Kluyveromyces lactis: one gene and its partners. Each later gene encodes a partner of the first gene's protein in a complex. Links are inferred from orthologs where the notes say so. Each region holds a gene or a part of one and is shown on either strand. Other genes may lie near its edges.

Evidence for each region.
Region 2: the proteins of SAC3 (region 1) and THP1 are in contact, whole or in part, in a crystal structure (PDB 5UBP), measured with the Saccharomyces cerevisiae proteins. The link is inferred for Kluyveromyces lactis from reciprocal best matches to the Saccharomyces cerevisiae genes SAC3 and THP1. Residues at the interface, in NP_010443.3 of Saccharomyces cerevisiae: Met86, Ile87, Thr92, Ile93, Leu95, Val96, Gly97, Pro98, Leu99, Ile100, Pro103, Asp104, Asn105, Leu106, Gly107, Phe108, Gln109, Lys110, Arg111, His113, Arg116, Leu118, Pro119, Phe121, Leu122, Ile123, Asn124, Gln125, Glu126, Ser354; in NP_014569.1 of Saccharomyces cerevisiae: Leu23, Ser24, Gly27, Arg28, Ile30, Ala31, Gln34, Lys35, Thr38, Arg73, Asp74, Val75, Asp76, Pro77, Trp78, Ser79, Ala80, Trp81, Ser82, Ser83, Ser84, Asp85, Leu86, Ile87, Phe88, Leu123, Lys126, Leu127, Phe130, His131.
Region 3: the proteins of SAC3 (region 1) and SUB2 are in contact, whole or in part, in a cryo-EM structure (PDB 8U8E), measured with the Saccharomyces cerevisiae proteins. The link is inferred for Kluyveromyces lactis from reciprocal best matches to the Saccharomyces cerevisiae genes SAC3 and SUB2. Residues at the interface, in NP_010443.3 of Saccharomyces cerevisiae: Arg120, Gln125, Asp182, Ser186, Ala187, Lys188, Asp189, Leu190, Ala193, Ile194, Phe240, Pro243, Ala244, Ala245, Ala246, Ala247, Arg288, Arg291, Gln292, Thr295, Tyr296, Asn298, Glu336, Gln337, Lys340, Glu347, His463, Leu465, Asn466, Lys467; in NP_010199.1 of Saccharomyces cerevisiae: Ser13, Asn15, Gly63, Lys65, Pro71, Glu72, Arg75, Ile78, Asp79, Cys80, Gly81, Phe82, Glu83, His84, Pro85, Glu87, Gln145, Asn148, Glu149, Arg152, Lys155, Tyr156, Met157, Pro158.
Region 4: the proteins of SAC3 (region 1) and CDC31 are in contact, whole or in part, in a crystal structure (PDB 3FWB), measured with the Saccharomyces cerevisiae proteins. The link is inferred for Kluyveromyces lactis from reciprocal best matches to the Saccharomyces cerevisiae genes SAC3 and CDC31. Residues at the interface, in NP_010443.3 of Saccharomyces cerevisiae: Tyr778, Leu779, Met782, Asp783, Arg785, Ala786, Glu787, Lys789, Arg790, Asn791, Ser792, Thr793, Leu794, Lys795, Lys796, Lys797, Phe798, Phe799, Glu800, Lys801, Trp802, Gln803, Ser805; in NP_014900.3 of Saccharomyces cerevisiae: Leu18, Glu20, Gln21, Glu24, Glu27, Leu31, Phe32, Met34, His43, Glu44, Val47, Lys50, Ala51, Leu52, Gly53, Arg92, Glu97, Ile98, Arg100, Ala101, Leu104, Phe105, Ile113, Leu118, Arg120, Val121, Ala122, Glu124, Leu125, Glu127.

Annotation. Positions count from the first base shown.
Region 1 is NC_006040.1:1,417,474-1,423,208, reverse strand, and holds the start of SAC3 (Sac3p), read right to left. Parts: upstream 3,662-5,735; coding exon 1-3,661. Other genes in the region: RKM5 (S-adenosylmethionine-dependent methyltransferase), read right to left, coding at 3,858-4,826; HOM2 (aspartate-semialdehyde dehydrogenase), read right to left, coding at 5,020-5,735.
Region 2 is NC_006040.1:314,830-319,819, forward strand, and holds THP1 (Thp1p), read right to left. Parts: upstream 2,379-4,990; coding exon 1,017-2,378; downstream 1-1,016. Other genes in the region: type 2A-related serine/threonine-protein phosphatase SIT4, read right to left, coding at 1-343; YNK1 (nucleoside diphosphate kinase), read left to right, coding at 3,025-3,483; UPF3 (Upf3p), read left to right, coding at 3,896-4,990. UniProt on the Saccharomyces cerevisiae protein: Component of the SAC3-THP1 complex, which functions in transcription-coupled mRNA export from the nucleus to the cytoplasm.
Region 3 is NC_006041.1:1,958,144-1,962,756, reverse strand, and holds SUB2 (ATP-dependent RNA helicase SUB2), read right to left. Parts: upstream 2,988-4,613; coding exon 1,674-2,987; downstream 1-1,673. Other genes in the region: FDO1 (Fdo1p), read left to right, coding at 1-1,131; KLLA0_E21913g (uncharacterized protein), read right to left, coding at 3,347-4,613. UniProt on the Saccharomyces cerevisiae protein: ATP-binding RNA helicase component of the TREX complex involved in transcription elongation and required for the export of mRNA out of the nucleus. SUB2 also plays a role in pre-mRNA splicing and spliceosome assembly.
Region 4 is NC_006039.1:835,438-839,422, forward strand, and holds CDC31 (centrin), read right to left. Parts: upstream 1,924-3,985; coding exon 1,420-1,923; downstream 1-1,419. Other genes in the region: MRPL40 (mitochondrial 54S ribosomal protein uL24m), read right to left, coding at 228-1,118; NIP100 (Nip100p), read left to right, coding at 2,192-3,985. UniProt on the Saccharomyces cerevisiae protein: Functions as a component of the spindle pole body (SPB) half-bridge. At the SPB, it is recruited by KAR1 and MPS3 to the SPB half-bridge and involved in the initial steps of SPB duplication.

The DNA of each region.
Region 1 (5,735 bases):
AACCTATTCCTGCTAGGTGCGGAGTGGTGAGAACCGCTGTATGATTAAGTAAGCTTCGTGGTTGGCTTGGTGTACCGAAATTTCCCGACGTATTGTGTGGTGGTATTTGAGTTCTGGAGGGTTTGATCTTCTTCACCAAATGTGAGGGATTAGACACATCAGCAGAGGTGATAGAGCTATGACGACTGTTTGCTAAAGGAATCGGTGTCTTATATTTTGGTTTATGCGATTCAGATAGCAATACTGGCAGTTTCTTGTATCTCGCTCTTGGAGAAGCCATGGCATGGTTTTTCAAGTAGGCATATGCAGACTTTTCTTTGATGCTACTGATACTCTTGTCTTTGTCTTGTTGTAACATCAATTGCATCTTTTCATCGATGTCAGCAGATGGTTCTCGAACTGTGTCCATTCCAACGCCGAGTAAACTGCGACGTTTTCTTGTTTCGTTGTATAATCCACGATCGGTTAGCTCAAATTGGAAGTCGTGCGCGGCATTAGCTAAACCGTTTGCAACTAGGGCTTCAGGATTAGATCCGACAATTTTAACAACTTCAATGCCATACATGATATCTCCGAAACGTTTCAAGATTTTGTGAACTTTTAGAAGTTGTTTGATTTCCGTTGTACTTTTGGGGTTTTCGATGGATTCCCAGTATATTATGATTAGCTTGAACTTGTAATTGGTATTGAATGCAACTCCACATATTACCTCAATCAACCTCTCTCCATCTTTTTGTAGTTTCATATCCAAATCAAATATGTCGGAATCAGTGACACCCGAATTGAATAATACTAAATTGACATTGTTGAAGCTGTCTGTCTTGTAATCGTTGGTTAGTCTTATAAAGCCTGCATTTAGTATCGGACTATCTATCGTGTATGTTGAGTCCTTTGCTAGGTGGAACTTACTTAAAAGCCACTGGCCTGAGATACATTCCCAGGTCTTTGAATATAGTACGATGTCAATTTGTGATTTGATGTCTTTGCTTTGAAGCTTACTATCTTTCAAGATTCCTTGCAGCCGCGATAACAACTCGTTAAAATACACTTCTTTCAAATCTAAAGGAGACCAGACATTTGAATTGTTTCTTACCGGTGTTGTGAAATGATTTTCTTCCAAGTGTAAAGGTGTGCTGTAATTCATTGTGCCTGATTTAATGAAAGAAGACGCTTCAAAAGTGGAATTGGCGTCCAGATACTTATTTTTTTTTGTAGTGGAGCGTAGGGAATGAACTCTTTTTCCTACTCCAAGTTCCTTACTCAATCTTAGAGCCTCTTCTTGTTTTTGTTGTTTGATTTTCTTCAATTTCAGTATTTTATTGAACTTAGATCTCCATTTCTTCATTACATGCATTGTAATAATCTTTTTCTTAAATATATCGGCTCTCACTTCAAGGAATACGAAGTATATTTGTTCATGTATGAATGACCGAAATAAATCCCTGCTCAGATTTTCAATATGAAGGGCGTTAGCTTGTCTCTTTTGAATCTCATTTTTAATGGTTTTTTCTAGTTGTTGCTCCATTAAAGTAGTAAAGATGTTACTGCTGGTTTCATTGACAATTTCATTTCTTCTTTGAATAGCTGCTTGTTGTACTTTCTCTAATTCCAGCTGTCTCCGCAGCTTTTCTTCATTTTGTTTTTCTAAGCCTTGCTTTTCATTGAGAAGTCGGGCTTTTTCGTCTAACTGCTTTTGCATGTTGAACTTTTGCTTTTGTTCCTCCAGTTTTTGCTGTAATGCCTGTTTTTTTACAAATTCGTCTGTCTTTCCAAAAGGTGCAGCTTGCCCGAGCTTTACACCTTCTAATGACACGTCGTTAGGGGCTTTTTTAACATCAGTTTTAGGTTGTGACGGAGTACCAAACATAAACGGTTGGTTTCCATTGGCCGTAGCATTCTTTTCTGTGATTAGGGAAGTACTTGTTTGGAAGCTAAAGGGTCGGTTTGCAGATATAGGAAGGGTTTCCTTAGCACCAGATGTTCCAGCAAAGTTTTGGTTATATTGCGTTAGCTGTGATTCTTCTAGTTGAGATACGTTGTCCAGGAGAGACCTCTTGTTAGAAGGAATTGTGTCAACATTGTGTTTTCGATTATTTATAAGAGCAGTCGTGGTATTTCTCTGTAATTTTTGCTCCACGCATGAAACCCAATTCTTTCTCATTGGCTGAGTTTCTGCTAGGAAATGAGAAGTTCCAGTGAGACTTTTCAATAATATCTTCCCATCACCGAAATCTATGGAGTAGTAGCGGCAGAATGTCTCCAAATCGTTTGCATCACGAAATAAAAAGTGCTCTATAAAATATTGGTATGGTAAGTTCCCTCCCTTTCTGGTTACCGCTAAAGAAAGAGATTTGAATGCATAAAATCTAATCTCGTTGAGATACACCTGCAAAAATGAAGACATTAGAAAGGGTACCTTATCAGATTGAATTAATTGAAAAAATCGGTCGTATAAATTCATGCAATTCTCCGTTACGACAACACCTCTTTCCACATGGTTAGAGTTCGCTAGAATTCTTCTGAAGGTAATTGCTAACTGCATTAGCTCGTCATTGAAGATATCATTGGGTAAGTCCTGGGCCATCTTGTCATATTCGGGATCTCTTATCTTACTCAAAAGGGCGTACGCTCTAAATTCGGCTTCGTTGGGGCATTGTCCTCCTTGATCTCTTACTTCGTCGTATATTTCACATAAAGTAATTATCGCCTTGTGTAGTTGTTCAAGTTCCTGTTGAACACTGAAGGTAATATCTGTCTTTGCCATTTGGTGCAAAATTAGCAAATGTATCCTTACAATTCTCTCGTTACAATCAATGGCTTCAGGTCCTGAGTAATTCTGGTAAGTAAAGTCCTGTCTTATTGATCTCATCCTGTCCCATAGAAAGGCTTCACAGTCTGGTAGTAGAGGGACGATTTCATCTACTATGTAGTCCAGTGTTCCCAATAACACATGAGGAGGTCTAACATCAGACGGTAATGGTGGAGCAGCTGCAGCTGCAGGTCTAGCGAATACCTTTAAGGCTTTACCTCTATCAACTTTTTTATCACTTGGATTAGCTTTTTCATACCTCACGACATTGTTTTCAACACTTCTTCTAGCTCTCTCAAAGATTGGACACATATCTTGACACGTACCTTGGAAAATGATTGCTTCAGTAAGATCTTTCGCCTGATCTGCTTTGTCAACGAGTCCTTTCTCTTCCATTACTTCTCTTTCTTCGTCTCTCATCTTCTTCAATGTTTCCCAGAGTGTAGTCACATCAGATATGTTGTCTTCCAGTTGAAGCATGCGTTCCTGGTTTTTTTTATCCCATTCGTCTTGAACTATCGGTACAGGTTTCAAGATGGGTGCCTGTCTTATGAGATATCTCGGTAGTTCTCTCTCGGCTGGTTTTGTCGGCTGTTGAAACCCAAGTATCGCTGGATTTCCATCAAAAAGTGTGCCAATGATTTCATTTTGATCCTGACTCAAAGTTGGTACCATTTTCTTTATTAGCTTCCCCTTAGAGCCATTGTTGGATGTAGTCTTGCTAGATTTACCATTAGGCCTCTTAAATTTGCGTTTCTCCGCATGATTACTAGATGATCTAGAGCTATCATGCATACTAAAGGGTGCAGCAGACGGTGGTATGGAGGAACCCCCAAACATTGACCCTAACATGGCTACAATGCACGGCCTACTGGTGCAGGAGTTGTTTTCAACTCAACATCTATATAATGGTTAATAGTTTACTTGGGTTATGATTCTTTGTATTTCATTATATCTTCAAATGCTAAAAATTAATGCTACGGCAGTATGTTCAGAAGAACTGCATTAAGGTATCTATAGAGAGAGAAGCCCTCCTAGTGTATATGAACTAGGGCAAATTTACGTGTAAGAGTATGAAACGTGACTTGTTAAGTTCTTTTTCATCGACGGCGTGCACTATGAATTGTCTCTCTATGATAGCCTCTTCGAGGAACATTTCAAGTACATCTTGAGTTCTAAGTTGAATTCCGATCAATGCCGATACCGTTACACGTTGTTCGGTATACCAGACGAATAACGACTCAAGAGTGGTTAAAAATGGTACAATTAAGTATTCGTTGTATATTACATCCATTGCGATTATAGTCAGATGGAAGTTCGGTCCGCATTGAAGAACGGGATCGTTTCTAGATTTCTTGCTACCTGAGAACAGTTCCCAATCTAACAGCGCTATGTCAATCTGACATTCCAACTCAGTACGTCTCTTAAGATCATCTAAAGCAATTGTGTTGGATTTAAGCAGTCTCCGTCTACACTCTGACTGGTTTTCTTGGATGTTATCTTTTAATCGAGGCAAGATGTCCTTTTGATCAGTGGCCACATATTTATCAACGTAATTAGAGAAAACAATAGGAAACATTGGTGATGTTCCAGTGCCCAGTTCAAGGACATATCGTAGTTTATCATCTTGCTGACATTGAAAAATGGATGTAATATCTACCTCATCCTTTACACCCCCTCTTGTGAATATGGTAGCGTTGTCATTGTATAATAACCATTTGAGAATAAAAGTAGACGTGGTCCAAATGACGTATCCAGTCGTCGAGTTATTATTATCACGGTTGGAATTTAAAGAGGTTAGGTTTTGGTGTATACTAAATGTATACTCATCTCTTTCTGGTGCTTTTTTTTTCCTGGTCACTAGGCGATGTGGCCCAATGTCTATCTCTAATTCTGATTCGTTTCTCGACAGAATACCGAGATCTTGAGATAAATCGTTTGCGTTAGCCTCTAATTCCACATATCGTTCGAAAATGTACTCATATAAAGTCTCTTCATCGAGCAGTACTAATTCCATGATAAACAGATCGTCATCTTAGTAAGCTCTGCGCTGAAATGGATTAGTGCCCATTGTAGGTATTCTGTAACGAAATATGAATTATGAATTACATTTTATCTGGTTATACATGATTACGTGAAAGAAACAAAAATATTCGGAGCACTAGAAACTGCCTTTCAAATTTGCTTCAGGAAGAATTATCATTTTGCGTTTAGATGATGTTCTTGGCTAATAGAATTTCGGCAATCAAGATACCTGCACCTGCAGCACCGATAACGGTGTTGTGGGACAATACAACCATTTTGAAGTCCAATACAGGATCTTCTCTGACTCTACCAACAGATACACCGTAACCATTGTCTCTTGTTCTGTCCAATCTTGGTTGTGGTCTATCATTTTGTTCCAAGACATGGATGGTTTGTTTTGGCGCAGAATGGCATCCCAACTTAGCAGCATCACAGACATAGTCTCTTAGACATTGTTTTACTTCTTCGACAGATGGAGCTGGCTGGTTCTTGAACTTCAAAGAGATACATTCAGTGTGACCGTCAGAGACAGCAACACGGTTACATTGAGCAGAAACCTTGATTTCGTCATCGCTCAATAGGTTAATTTGAGATTTATCTTGACTCAAAGCACCCAAGATCTTCTTGGTCTCCCATTCGATCTTGTCTTCTTCGCCGCCAATGTAAGGGATGATGTTATCTAAGATATCGATACTTGGGACACCTGGAGAGAAACCAGCCCCGGAAATGGCTTGTAAAGTGGTAGTGGTCAATAGAGAAATAGGACCGAATTTTTCAACTAATGGTTTCAATGGGGCCACTAAACCAGCAGTAGAACAGTTTGAGATACAAATAATAAAACCAGGTCTTGGCTTACCTTCTTGCTTGGCCTTTACCAAGTTCGCGTTAACCAAATCCAAAT
Region 2 (4,990 bases), about 1.1 Mb from region 1:
GATTTCCTCTAACCAAAGTAATTCTGGAAGGATATTTCACTTTCAAACACATAAGAAGTGTGAACGTCTCCAAACTGTAATAACCACGATCTACATAGTCACCAAGAAAAATATAGTTTACTTGATCAGGAAACCCACCAGCAGTTCTGAATAGTTCTAAAAGGTCATGAAATTGTCCGTGAATATCACCACAAACAGTCACCGGCGATTGAACCGGCTGAATATTCGATTCTTCCATTAAGAGTTCCTTCATCATCTCGCATAGCTGTTTCATCTCAGACTCCGTCAAAGCCTGACATTTCTTGATCTTCTCAAGCCACAAATCTGGCCCATTATCTGACATTGTGATATTTTAGCACTCCGGAGACAAAACGCTCTATAGATAGATGAACTTATGCAATGGCAAATTAACCTTTACAAGGGAAGATAAAGTTCAAAGGTCAATAAAAAAAATAATAATTATAATAAAACCCAGTCCTTACCTGTGAAAAAATTGGGATAAATTCCTTCTGAATTTCTTGTAAAGTGATTATGATTAGCGTTCTTGTAAATAAAAACCACAACAAGCTTAAAACCTGTGTTTGGAAGTATTTCTTGCACCTTTTCTTTTCAACAAGAAACACTCACTCACTATAGGAAAATTCAATAGCTCAAACAAAGAACAGCCCTATATCACTACTCTTTGTTGATGGCTAAAAGCTTGTTAACAAAGTAGTTAGCTATAAGGATGTTTCCTTCTCTCTTTGTTTTCTGTTGTAATCATCAGTCCTTTTACAAAAATAATGGAAACTTCAACAAAATTTCAACTTCTCTTCAATTTCTTACTTTTTTTTGCAGAATGTGACCTGGAAGACAAACAGATATATGTGAGAGCATTCTTATATCTATATAGACATGTCTGTAAAAATTGAGTCTTCCAAAAGTGTTTCACGACTGGGTATGATAGTGGGACCCGAATCAGGTTAGGAGGGGCTGTGTCATCTATTTTTACATACTATATGTATATTATCTATCATTTACTTATCGAGCCAGGAATCTTCCTGGTTCAACGAAAATCTAGAGACGATCTTTTCATTGATATTAGGGAAGATTACTGAGATATCGTTAGTCTTCATCGTAACGCACACTTGCAGGCTTGGAAACACATTTCCCTTCCACAATTGTTGAATTGAAAGTGTGACAAGGATATTTTCAAGTGATTCTGCGGTGTAATTGTCTTTATATATCGATGGCATTTCAGGTGGATATAAACCGATGGATTTTGCTAGAATTGGTCTTATCACAGAGTATGGTAGTTTATTTGAATTGCGCGGTATACAGTAGTATAGGAAAATAGATCGCAAAAGGGATCTGAACGTTATAATGGGTAGCTTTTCCAATAGAACAATCAACAATTTAGATGATTTCAGCCACGATTCGTTCTCGTAAAGCCAGAAGTTTACTCTGTTCAAGTTTCCGTTTTTAACGGCAATCACAAGAGCTGTGTATTTCTGTGCTAGGATAGGGTCCCATTGAGATAACTTGTTGAAATCTGGCAACTTGCTGATAATGATACCACATGGAACTAAAAACTTCAACAATCTTCTCCTGTTGTTCTGTTTCGCAATAGAGTCGGGTAATGTGGCTAGGAGTTCGTAACATTGGTTCAACTGATGGAAAGCATTAACCATTCTATGGTTTAATAGGTAATATCTCCCCAAGTAATACCTATACTGGATTCTCTCTGTCAACGGGTATTGGTTGAACGAATAGATATTAGACTTTGGTTTCAAATTCTTGAAGATGTTAGCGCACGAAGATGGGGAGTTAATCTTGAAATAAATCATGTTCAATTTGTTTGAAATATAAAGCAAGACCTTCTGTTTCCCTGACAAATGATCAAATTCGACCTTATCATCATCGACCCTGGCTTTAATGCTATTGAACAATTTGGAAATGATGGAAGCAATATGGGTCAGAAACTGATGCTGTCTTGTACCAATGATCTTATGGTTAGCATCCAATCTAATAGCCATTGGAATGACCAATTCTGTTGTAGCTGTAAACAGTGGTACCAAAGAATCAATAGGGTACATTGTTGTCTCGTTTGTGAGACATGTATTCAAATCCTGGTAATATTGGAACACAGAGAAGGACGATTCCCATAATGAATATGGATTCAGTTCTTTACAGTACCCAAGAAATGAACTTACCAAATTATTAAACCTGGTCCATCTGTTCTCATAAAGAGAATGTGAATTTATCAGGGTCTCAAGGTCAATGCTGTCATTGGATCTCAAAAACTGTTGCAATTCAAGAATTAATTGTCCATTTCTTTCGATGTTTATATCCAATACACTAAAATCACCTGCCTTTAGAGCCCCAAAGAAATGGTCCATAACCAAAAACCACAAAGGAAAATCCACTGGCGCTTTTCAATTCAAAGTTTGTCCTATAAAGGTGATCTGAGTCAAATGTCAACCAGAAGTTTTTCTGATTTGTCTGATTCTAACCTTAATATTAGATGAGCCAGGTACAATGTTTCAAGAGACCATGATTTCCGTTTGTTGATTTTTCTTGTCACGTGATCGATAAAGTCACTTGAAGACTTGCCTCGACATATATCCATAAACACTCTTTGGGGTTTACATACAGTGTTTCGCCTAATCCCAACCTCCGAATGCGCTTGCTAACGATATGGACACCTTTCTGCTATTGTGTATGATGAACCATACTTTTACAGCTTCCTCAGTAAGAAGCCCCAAACATCAACTAATCAAAGTCACGTGCCGGAAAAATTTTCTCTCATTTTCGATTTTCCCCGGCATTTCTTCGTCTGCACCAATCTCATCGAGCATGAATCGGATCCTCATTCGTTGGCTCTCTCGAGAAATATTTCAATTTCGTTGATTTCAATTTGCAGTAACTTTCTTCTTTCCATGCACTTTATTTCAACTTCTGGGGTTAGCGATTGCTTATGTTCCATTGATTCTTAGTTCATAGCAGGATCGTACACAGAATCACGTATTAACTAACTCGAGAAAAATGTCTAACACTGAAAGAACTTTCATTGCTATCAAGCCAGATGGTGTTCAAAGAGGTTTGATCTCTAAGATCTTAGCTCGTTTTGAAGACAGAGGTTACAAATTGGTTGGTATTAAGTTGGTTACTCCAACCGAAGCTTTGTTGAAGGAGCACTACGCTGACTTGGTTTCCAAGCCATTCTTCCCATCTCTATTGTCTTACATGACTTCTGGTCCAGTTTTAGCTACTGTCTGGGAAGGTAAGGATGTTGTTAAGCAAGGTCGTGCTATCTTGGGTGCTACCAACCCATTGCAATCTGCTCCAGGTACCATCAGAGGTGACTTTGCCATTGAAGTTGGTAGAAATGTCTGTCACGGTTCTGACTCTGTTGAATCTGCTGAAAAGGAAATCGGCTTGTGGTTCAAGAAGGAAGAACTTATTGACTACAAGTTGAACCAATTGTCTTGGATCTACGAATAAATGTAACGTTGACAAATTGTTCACTTTATCAATACATATTCTTTCCCACAATTATTCCATATTTAAAGATGTCTTTTCTTATATGATGTGTATCTGTGTGTCGGTATTTATTACTATGTAGATATATCTCAAATACACACATTTTGAAATCCATTAAGCTTTATACTGCGATGTTGTATTCATATTTGTAACCCCGACTTGCGTTGGGTATATTCACGTTTCTACCAGCTTACTGATACGATTACGGTTCAATTTGCATTTATGTTTGTCATAGTATTATTTTACTTAATTGCACTAAAAAATTTCAGTTAGCACATCTGTTCTTCATCACAAATGCATCCCTAACGAAAACATGAGCTGTTATCACAATACCTCAGACAAGATCCTTCAGTAAAACTGCGTTCTTTCACGAATGCTCTCTAAGAAAAGAAATAGAAGGAGGTACCGGAAGAGGAGTGCTGACTCTTCCCGTGAATTCAAATTATGTATTCGATCTTTACCACCAAATTTAACAGAAGAGCAATTCATCAGCACTTTACAAGAGAACAACATCGATGTGCATTCATTTCAAAAATCATTCTACTACGTGCAAGGTCATTACTCCAGCAAGGTGTTCAAGAAACAGACTTTGTCTAGGGCATATATCCAATTGGACTCCTTCGAAACCATTCAATCGTTGTCAAAAACAATAAGAACATGCAGATTCATAGATGATTTGGATAACTCGATGATTCCAGATTTACAAATCTCGCCGTTCGTTAAGAAGTGGGTCAGTCCCAACGAGGTTAATCCTATTCAAGGCACGATTCAAAAGGACCATGTCTTTCAAACCTTTGTCAAATCATGGAAATTGATTAATGAAGATGAAACCAACTCATTACAGTTCAAGAATTTAAGTGTTATTGCACCTTTAAGAAAGGAATTAGAACGTGAAGAAAAAATGGAAGAAGAGTTAAACGGACGTAAGCAAAGAGCACTAATAGAATTGGCTGGTGATCCAACAAGCGAAGAAAAGAAGAAGAGGATCAAAAAGATTAAGAAAAAGTTAAGACTATTAGAGAAGAAGAGGAAGCTGAAACGTGCTAAGGCAAAGAACAAGGATAATCCGGACGAGAAAGATGTTTCTAAGGATAAATCAGAAGTTGAGAAGCCCAAAAAGTCTAAATCCAAACACAAATCCAAATCCAAATCTAAACCTAAATCGAAATCTGAACCGAAATCATCGAAATTTGACACTGCGACAACTGAGAAGAGTGCGGTAACATCCGAAGAAAAGCCAAAGAAGAAGATTTTGTTGAAACCAAAGAAAGATGATGTTCCCAAACCAGAGATGCCTGCAGATTCGGAGGTAACGAAGAGAGCAAGACGTAAAAAATCAAAGAAACATAAAGACAAAGACAAGGATGTAAAGAAGGATTTAACAAGCAAAGAAACAAAGGAAACTCCCTCTAAAGTTACTCCTAAGGTAAAAATAAAGTCTAAATCTGCCAATGTGGAGGAAATGAAA
Region 3 (4,613 bases), on another chromosome or scaffold:
GAGGTAAATAATGTTCATTCACCGTCCGTGATATTTACGCCTAACGATTTGGAGAGAAAGAGTTCGACCATTTCGAATACTTCGTCAATATCGACGCAGGAGGATTCATTGAACGACCAAGTAAGTTTAGCTATAGAAAATGCTCAGAGAACCTTGAATACCTTAAATGCGTTACAATCTACAGCGGAGATACCTGCTTCGAATCACAAAGGGGATACGGGTTCTGATGATACGAAAAATGGTACCGCAGATGAGAAAGACAAAGATGTAAACAATGACATTATTACCTCATTACGGCATTTAATGACAGCGTTAACCAAATCACAAGAACGGGCCAAACAATTGACGTTGAAGAATATGTTTCTAGTACAAAATCTCAACGAACTTCAGAGCGGGTTCCAAGTGGAACAAAATCTCGCCAAGCAACAATTTGAAAGTATGAAATACAATTTGATGGTACAAAAGACAGACCTACAGAGACAGTTAGAGGGTACTTCGGTCAAGATCACAAAATACAGAGAAACGATCATGTCGAAAAACAAAGAAATCAACAGACTTTCCAGATTATTGAACCAAAGCCAAGTCTATAATCCTCGCCTCTCTAGACCAACTTCCGTGCCATCTGCATCGGTCAGGAAGCCATTTATTTCAAGACAGTTACACTCGTCGGATTCCAACATGTTAAACACATTAGGAATACTTGCTACAAAGGTTCTTAAAGAGGAACAAAATCCGGAAAATGGAAGCATTCATGGGTCGACACTCCAACATTCTCCAATTGAAGACAAGCCAGAGAATCTTGATAATACCGAATCTGACATCTCTCATGATAGTACTCAGCTTGTGAATCATAGCCAGCAGTTTAATAATGGACTTAGTCCCTCAACAGCAAACATGGTGACTCCAGCCGCATCAGTTCCAGCAGCGCAGCATTTACCAAGTCTGAGTACGGTATCAGAGGTGACACCTGATTCACATTTGATTAGGATCAACAGCAGTTCAAATCAGAAAATAGAGCGTCCTGAACTGCCTATATTGCATCTCAATAGGCCATCGCTTCCGAAAGGTGCGGCACTACCAAAATTACGGAGTTTTAATACAGCAGATGGGACTGTAAAGGATGTCTTGTAAGAACATACTCTTTATTTGTTTTTACCCCAGAGTTATTATTCTATTTCTTATTTTCGTCTGCAGGAAGACCAAATGACAATAATAACACATAAAAATAAAAGAAACAGACGTCGTTTCTGCCGAACCACGCCAATGACACGGTTCGACTACAGAAAGCGTAACCTGCTTGTCCAGAAAGGCCCATATGTTTACTTTTCTCACCTGTAAAAGCTGACAAGCGGCTTGATAGACCTTATGTACATCACATAAATCCAGTTTATATTATATTCATGACAGACGTCTCCGCTTTAATTATCTGCAAGGGCATATGAGGAAACACTAATACCTAAACCCGACATACAATGAAGCTTTTTTTCATGAGAATTGAATTGATTTTATACACTTATACTCCAATTATGTTACTTAGTTATAATGGGACTATTGGAAATTCGTTTTAAACTGTATAAAAACCACATTTTATTTGATAATACACATTCCAGCTTGTTTTTGCAATTTTCTAGTTTTGGTAAAAAATTCTGAAGTAAAACGCTATGATGAAATATCTAAGTGTTCAAATAAGTAGATGGATCAACACCTTCTTCTGGGAACTCAGTGATCTTAACATCAAATCTTTCTTGGATCTTGGCCAAGACTTGTTCGTCATCTTCACTAGATATCATGGAGATAGCCAAACCCTTGGTACCGAATCTACCAGCTCTACCAACACGATGCAAGTATTGGTCTGCTTCGTTTGGCATATCATAATTAATGGCCAAGTTAATACGTTCGATATCAATACCTCTACCGAAAACATCAGTGGAAACACAAATACGTTTTTCGAATTCCTTGAAAGCCTTGTAACGAGCAATACGTTCTTCTTGTTTCATGTGACCATGCACAGTGATGGCTGGGAAGTTAGAAGCATTCAATAGTTTGGTCAATTCGTTAGCTCTGACAGTAGACTTGACGAAAATGATAACTTGGTTGAATTCCAAATCGTCCAACAATTGAGCCAACTTACGGTTCTTTTCCTTTTCATTCAATTTGATATAGTATTGTTGCAAACCGTGTAGAGTCAACTTGGCTTCGTCATCGACAAAGATTTCTAATGGATTTTGAAGGAATCTTCTACAGATTGGTCTGATTTCTTGGGATAGAGTTGCGGAAAACATCATAACTTGCTTATCTCTTGGGGTGGCTCTAAAAATATCTTGAACATCTCTTCTCATATCCAATTCTTCCAAGACCTTGTCACATTCATCAATGACAAAGTTCTTGACGTGAGATAGATCGATATGCTTGTCTCTAACCAAAGCCTTTAAACGACCAGGAGTGGCTACAATGATATGAGGGACGGTTTCCTTCTTGGATAGCAAATCAATATCGTTCTTATATTCAGTACCACCGTAAAATACAGCAGTCTTAACGTCTGGCATGTATTTGGAGAATCTCAAGTATTCGTTTCTAATTTGGTAAGCCAATTCTCTCGCGTTACATAGCACGACGACACTGACTTCACCTTGAACTGGATCCAATTGTTGCAAAGTAGACAACACGAACACAGCAGTCTTACCTAGACCAGACTTAGCTTGACATAAGACGTCAGTACCATGAATGGATTGAGGAATGGTATGTTGTTGCACTTCAGAAGGATGTTCAAAACCACAGTCAATGATAGCTCTGGACAATTCTGGCTTCAACAAGAAATCCTTGAAACCAGTGGAGTGAATACCAACATAAGAACCTTTCTTATCAGAATCCTTTGCTTGGCTCTCACCGTTACCCTCGGCATTCACTTCAGTGGCCTTGTTGTCAACTTGAACTTCTTGTTCGTTATCGGAATACTCCAATAAATCCTCTTCTGCTTCGTGAGACATTGTTTCGGTTGGGTCTTCTTCCTTGTGGTTGACAATACCAAGTTGCTTCTCAACAAGTTCTATCCTTAGATTAAACACGTATAAATCCTTAATTCAATTAACAACCGTCAGAGCACAACACGCACCTTTTCTTCATAATCTATGCCAAATTATTGTTTTGAAATTCTCTTACCTTTCGCTGTTTTTTTCTTACGTTCTCATTTCGTCGTTAAAACAGATATATTTCACTGTCGTCAGGAGTGATACCACGTACTACATGTAAGCAGTCAATTTTGCCACTGAGAAGTGACATTGGTTGATCACGTGAAATAATGCGGGTAATCTAGAACCCAATTAAATGCAGAAATGACAATAACAAGTCACGTGAGTTCAACAGCGCAAGTAGATAATGACTCTTCAAGTAAGCGCGCTTGATTGAAAATGTTGCAAAGAGTGACACGGGCATCAGGATCATGTATTTCTCTATACAACCGCGACTCATTCTCAGATATAGTTCGAATTAATTGCCGTATAGCGTCCCTTTGAGTGCGCGAATTATTGATGGCAACGGCTGGTAACGGCGTTGCGTTGGTGATTATTTCCTTAAGCATGACAGACACAGAGGTAAAGTTAACCATATCTTTGGTAGCCACCGCTGAATTCGAATCTTGTGTGATTTTCTCAAAAGTGACCGCAATATTATTATCCTTGTTTAAACAATTCGTGAGTAGGTCATTTCCCCAGGGAACCGTATACAATTTACCGTTTAGCTTGTGCGTTTTGACTAATTCTAGACATTGTGACCAGTCCCAATGTTCCGTCTGTGTTAACCCTTCCAAAACGACTAGGTCCGTAGAGTTAGCGTCTATACGTTTCAAAATGGAATTTAGATCTTGTAAGAATTGTTCCTTTGCTTCTTCAGGAGAGATGGGACTTAACTCCCTTGTAATTGGTTCACATAGCAAAGATATTGTCACATCTTTCTCTGTGCCAGCATTTACCTGCTGAATCTTCACTTTTAATGCAAAAAATATCATCTTATTGGCTTCGTTTGAGCCATGTGGAACGTATTTACAGATGTAGTAAAACTGATGGCATCTTTTTAATTTGGATTGCAAGCACCGAAGGAATAAATCATGCAATTGACTAAACTTGTTTTTCCATTGCCTAAAATCTTTAAATTTAGCGTTCAATACCCCCTCGCCCGTCATACCATATACCGTTTCTTCCCCATGTCGTCTTATGAAACCAGTGATCCATTTATTTCCCAAGTGTACCGCCCTTGTTGTGCTGGGTATGCACTCTCTTAAATCTGAGATCAATGGCAGATTACCATAAGCTAATACATAACCCTGCATATTTCGCACCATGTCGGATTCTGCTTCCGGGCTGAATCTCATTTGAGATAAGTGAGAATACGTTCTCGTTGTCTGATTTCTTAACTGCATTTGTAAATCGTGTTCATTATTTTCATCAGAGATTTCATCACTCTGGCCTCCAGCGGCGTTTGCCTTAGTTATCGTTCTTTGCCTCTTTTGTCCTTGATCTGCCTTCATCCTATCGTATAGCGTACTCTTAGGTATTTGAAAATGGAGTGCAATCTGTCTGATTGTGGGCTTTCGTTTTTTACCATATTTACTAGGTTTC
Region 4 (3,985 bases), on another chromosome or scaffold:
TATGAACTAGTAACAGTTATCTAATCATTTAGTCATTACTATAATCATAAATTGTTGAGGTCTGTTACTACAAGTAATGACCTTTACGTATAGATTTCCATTCAAAATAAACATGTAGTAAAAAAAAAAGTCAGATAAAAGTGCGATGAAGTATGATATTATGATCTATGTACAAGTAGCGTGGATACGAATGGCAGTTAAGTGCTAGCCAAAACTATTATTTATTCTTATTGTAATTCGAAAGATTTCTTGAAGTGTTGGTAGACCTTGTCACCAATCAATTCTTGATCTTCATCAGTCAATTTACGTTTTGGCAATGCTGCCAATTCTTTTCTTTGTTCGATGTATCTTTTCTTTGCTTCCGTTAGAGGCATTTTTGGAGCCACCAATCTTGATATTTCCTTCGTTGTCAAGGTACCTCTTCTGTATTTCGACTTAGGGTTACGGATGGTTGACAATGCTGCTTCTGGAACAGGATTTTTTACTACGCTTTCAACCCAGAAAGTTTGTTGACGTGCAATTTCAGAACGCGTAGCCAATGCACCATCTGGCTTGAACTCCGGCTTAGGCCATGGAACAACCATATTGTTCTCACCAACAACAACCCTATATGGCATAATTTTCTTGTAATCTGAATCATAATACGAACCCTTGAATTCGATGTCACGAACAGCAACAGTCTTAGCCACACCTGGAGTCTCTGGATCATCGAGATCAGCGACTAGTTTGATGTCCGCTTGGCTCACGGGGACAGGGAAACTCACCATATGACTGTTCTGCCCCTGTTGCCAAAATTGCTTGGGCACAGGAACAGTGTTGGTGGGTCCATTCTCATCCAAAATATACCCGTTTGTATGCACGTCGTGCTGCGTAATGGCACAAACATTGCCCTTAAACTTTCCATTTACTATCACCACTCTATCACCTGGCATATATTTCCATTGCTTTACACTCTTATACTTCTCGGATTCTTCGACACGAGGCAACGATGGTTTCAAGAACTCTGGCATCGTCAAACCTTCATACTTGGCAAATTGTTTCGCAATATTAGAGTTCTTCGCTTGAACTTGCTCCAAAAAACGGGCACCAGCCTTCGATAAATGTTTATATGAAGACATACCCGCTGATCTATTTTATTCTAGTATCGAATACCACCGTCCTTTTCACAGAACATAAACCATTTGTGGTTCATTCCATAGTACCATATTGATACATATGTCTTTCTTGATTCCGTTCCTTCAAGTTTTTCATCGACAAATTTTTTTGGAAGGGAAAAATGAAAGCACGTGATCCGAATTAGACTATCAGATTCTTCGCATTTGATTTAGTATTATAGCTTGATGTTACATAGGATATACAAGGTGAGATATACATGCGGCACAGGGCTCCAGCTGTGGCAATGGAAATGGTCGTGAAGCACTAATTGTCAGTGCATATAGCAATGAACTCTTCTTCATTGATCTCTCCGTCATCGTCAAGATCAAACTCATCAATCATGGCACGTAGTTCTTCGTCTGTAAGGTTTTCACCTAGTTCGTGAGCTACACGTTTCAAATTCTTCAATGAGATCTTGCCCGTGTTATCATCGTCGAATAGCCTGAAGGCACGTTTAATTTCATCCAATGGGTCTCTTTGCAATATTTTTTCTCCTACTACCAGGTAAAAATCCTCGTATTGTATTAACCGGCGTCCGTCTGCATCATACCTATCGATAAGTTCTAATATGTCTCCTTTACTGAGTTCAAAACCCAATGCCCTTAGAGCGACTTTGAATTCATGATAGTCGAGATATCCATCATTGTTCATATCAAAGAGTGAGAACGCCTCGTATATTTCTTGTTTCTGTTCTTCTAATAATTCCTTTTGTAAAGTGGATTTATCCACGGATTTCGCTACTCGTCCACTGGGCCTTCTGTTATTCATGTTTCTATGATCCGAATTGGGTTAGATTTCTTGCCGTTGTGAGTCTTGGCTGTAAGTCAATCGAACCTCTTAATTTACCTCTTTTGCTGCACGCGTAAACTTCGTGAAACTTCTTTAAAATATGTTTAAAGATTTCATGTTTATGATTATTTTGACAATATTGAGTTTAAGGAACATAAACACATATCCTGAAAGAAATGAAGGCAATAACTGATGAATACCTTACAGTACTGCCAGATCAACTACTCTTTAGTTCTAAAATGAAACAATGGATCTGGAATTAGGAGATAGGGTAGTGCTACGCAGCCTGGCAGGAACTGTACGGTTTATAGGCGAGACGCAGTTTGCAGCGGGGATTTGGATCGGTGTTGAGTTAGATGAACCCTTAGGGAAGAACGATGGTAGCGTCAAGGGAGTCAGGTACTTTGAACTCAGTGAGGGTAGAAAAGGTCGGATGTATGGTATATTCAGTAGAAGAGAGGGTATCTATAAAAATTCTGCACCGAACTCGCAACAATTTCAGGATCCTGATACTACGAATTCTAACTCATCAGATCCCGAACGATTGAAAAAGATCATTGGAAGATTGGAAGTTAAACTCAAGTCAGTTAATGACAAATGTATTTCGTTTGAAAAGGAGCTGGGATTGAGATCAAAAGAGCTTGAAAAAGTGCAATTTCTCGAGGAACAATTGGAGAAATTAACTTTAGGACGAGATGAGGCAGAGCAACGCAATGATTCACTGATATTTGAATTAGAAAGCTTGACCATTGCTCATGAAAGTGCTTTGAAGGAGCTTAATGATTATAAAGAAGAAATTTTAATAAGAAGAAAAGCAGACGTTGATGTCAACACTGATCAGATAGAATCAGTAGAATCAGATGCCCTTATCAAGCAAAACAGATTATTAACGGTTGCACTACAAAAGCTGCAATCAGACCTAACAGAAATACAGAAACAATGCAACGGTTTGAAAAATAGTAATGAAGAACTGCAAACCCAGGCAGAGACATATTTGCGAACAATATCAGCCTTAGAGAGTAAACTATTTGAAACAACAAAAACATTAGATGAATTGAAACAGCACTTCAGTGCGAATAGTAATTCTAATAACATCATTGAATCTCTTACTACAGAAAACCATCAATTAAGTACGGAGCTTGATTGTCTTAAGTCAGAGTTACTCAAGTTGAAACAAACTCAATTGGCAGATGAAGAACTAGAAGCACTTTATAAAGAGGTCGAATCGGAGCTAAATTCTCAAATAGCGAAACTTCAGGAAACTCTCTCTACTGACGAGAGCATAATTAACGCATTGAAGGAAAACAACAAAACCTTAAAGAATGAATTACAATCACTGCAAAATAAATCGGGGCAATATTCTCAAGAAATGTCACCAGAAGTTGAAGAATTACAAGCAGAACTTACTTCGTTACAATTAAGGAATAATGAGCTTCAATTCCAGAACGAGGTATCTTCTGCAAAGCTTAGCCATCTGAAAGTGGATAACAAAGTGGAGCTACTTTCTCAAATTAAAATCATATACCTGAGAGACCAACTTCTTAGCCAAGACGCTGTGAGTATATGCACATCTCAACTAATTTTATTCATATATTATGCGATGATTAAATATGATGCTGGTGTGACATATTTGAAAGAAAAGATCAATTTGGACTTATTATTGGAATCAGTAAAAAATAGTCATCCAATCAAGGTTCAATTATCTCTATTAGAAAATGCAGACATCACTTTATCGGATCCTAGGGTTCTATTTACGGCTATTCAAATGTTTCTTGAAGCGTCGGTGGAAAGACTTTTGTCCGATACTGAACACTTGTCAAAGGAATCTGATCAGCAGCGAATAAGAAGCCTGTATAACACTTTCCATACGATTAACACCTTCGTCACCACGAAATTGGAAGAGCTTTATGAATTTAATGGAACCTTAAAGTCTGATGTGAATTTATTCTCGATTTATGTTCACTTTGCAACGTCAGTCCTATCCCTACAGGAAAAACCAAATGAGTTGTCAGTGTGTTTAGAGGAAATTAAACAAATTCCT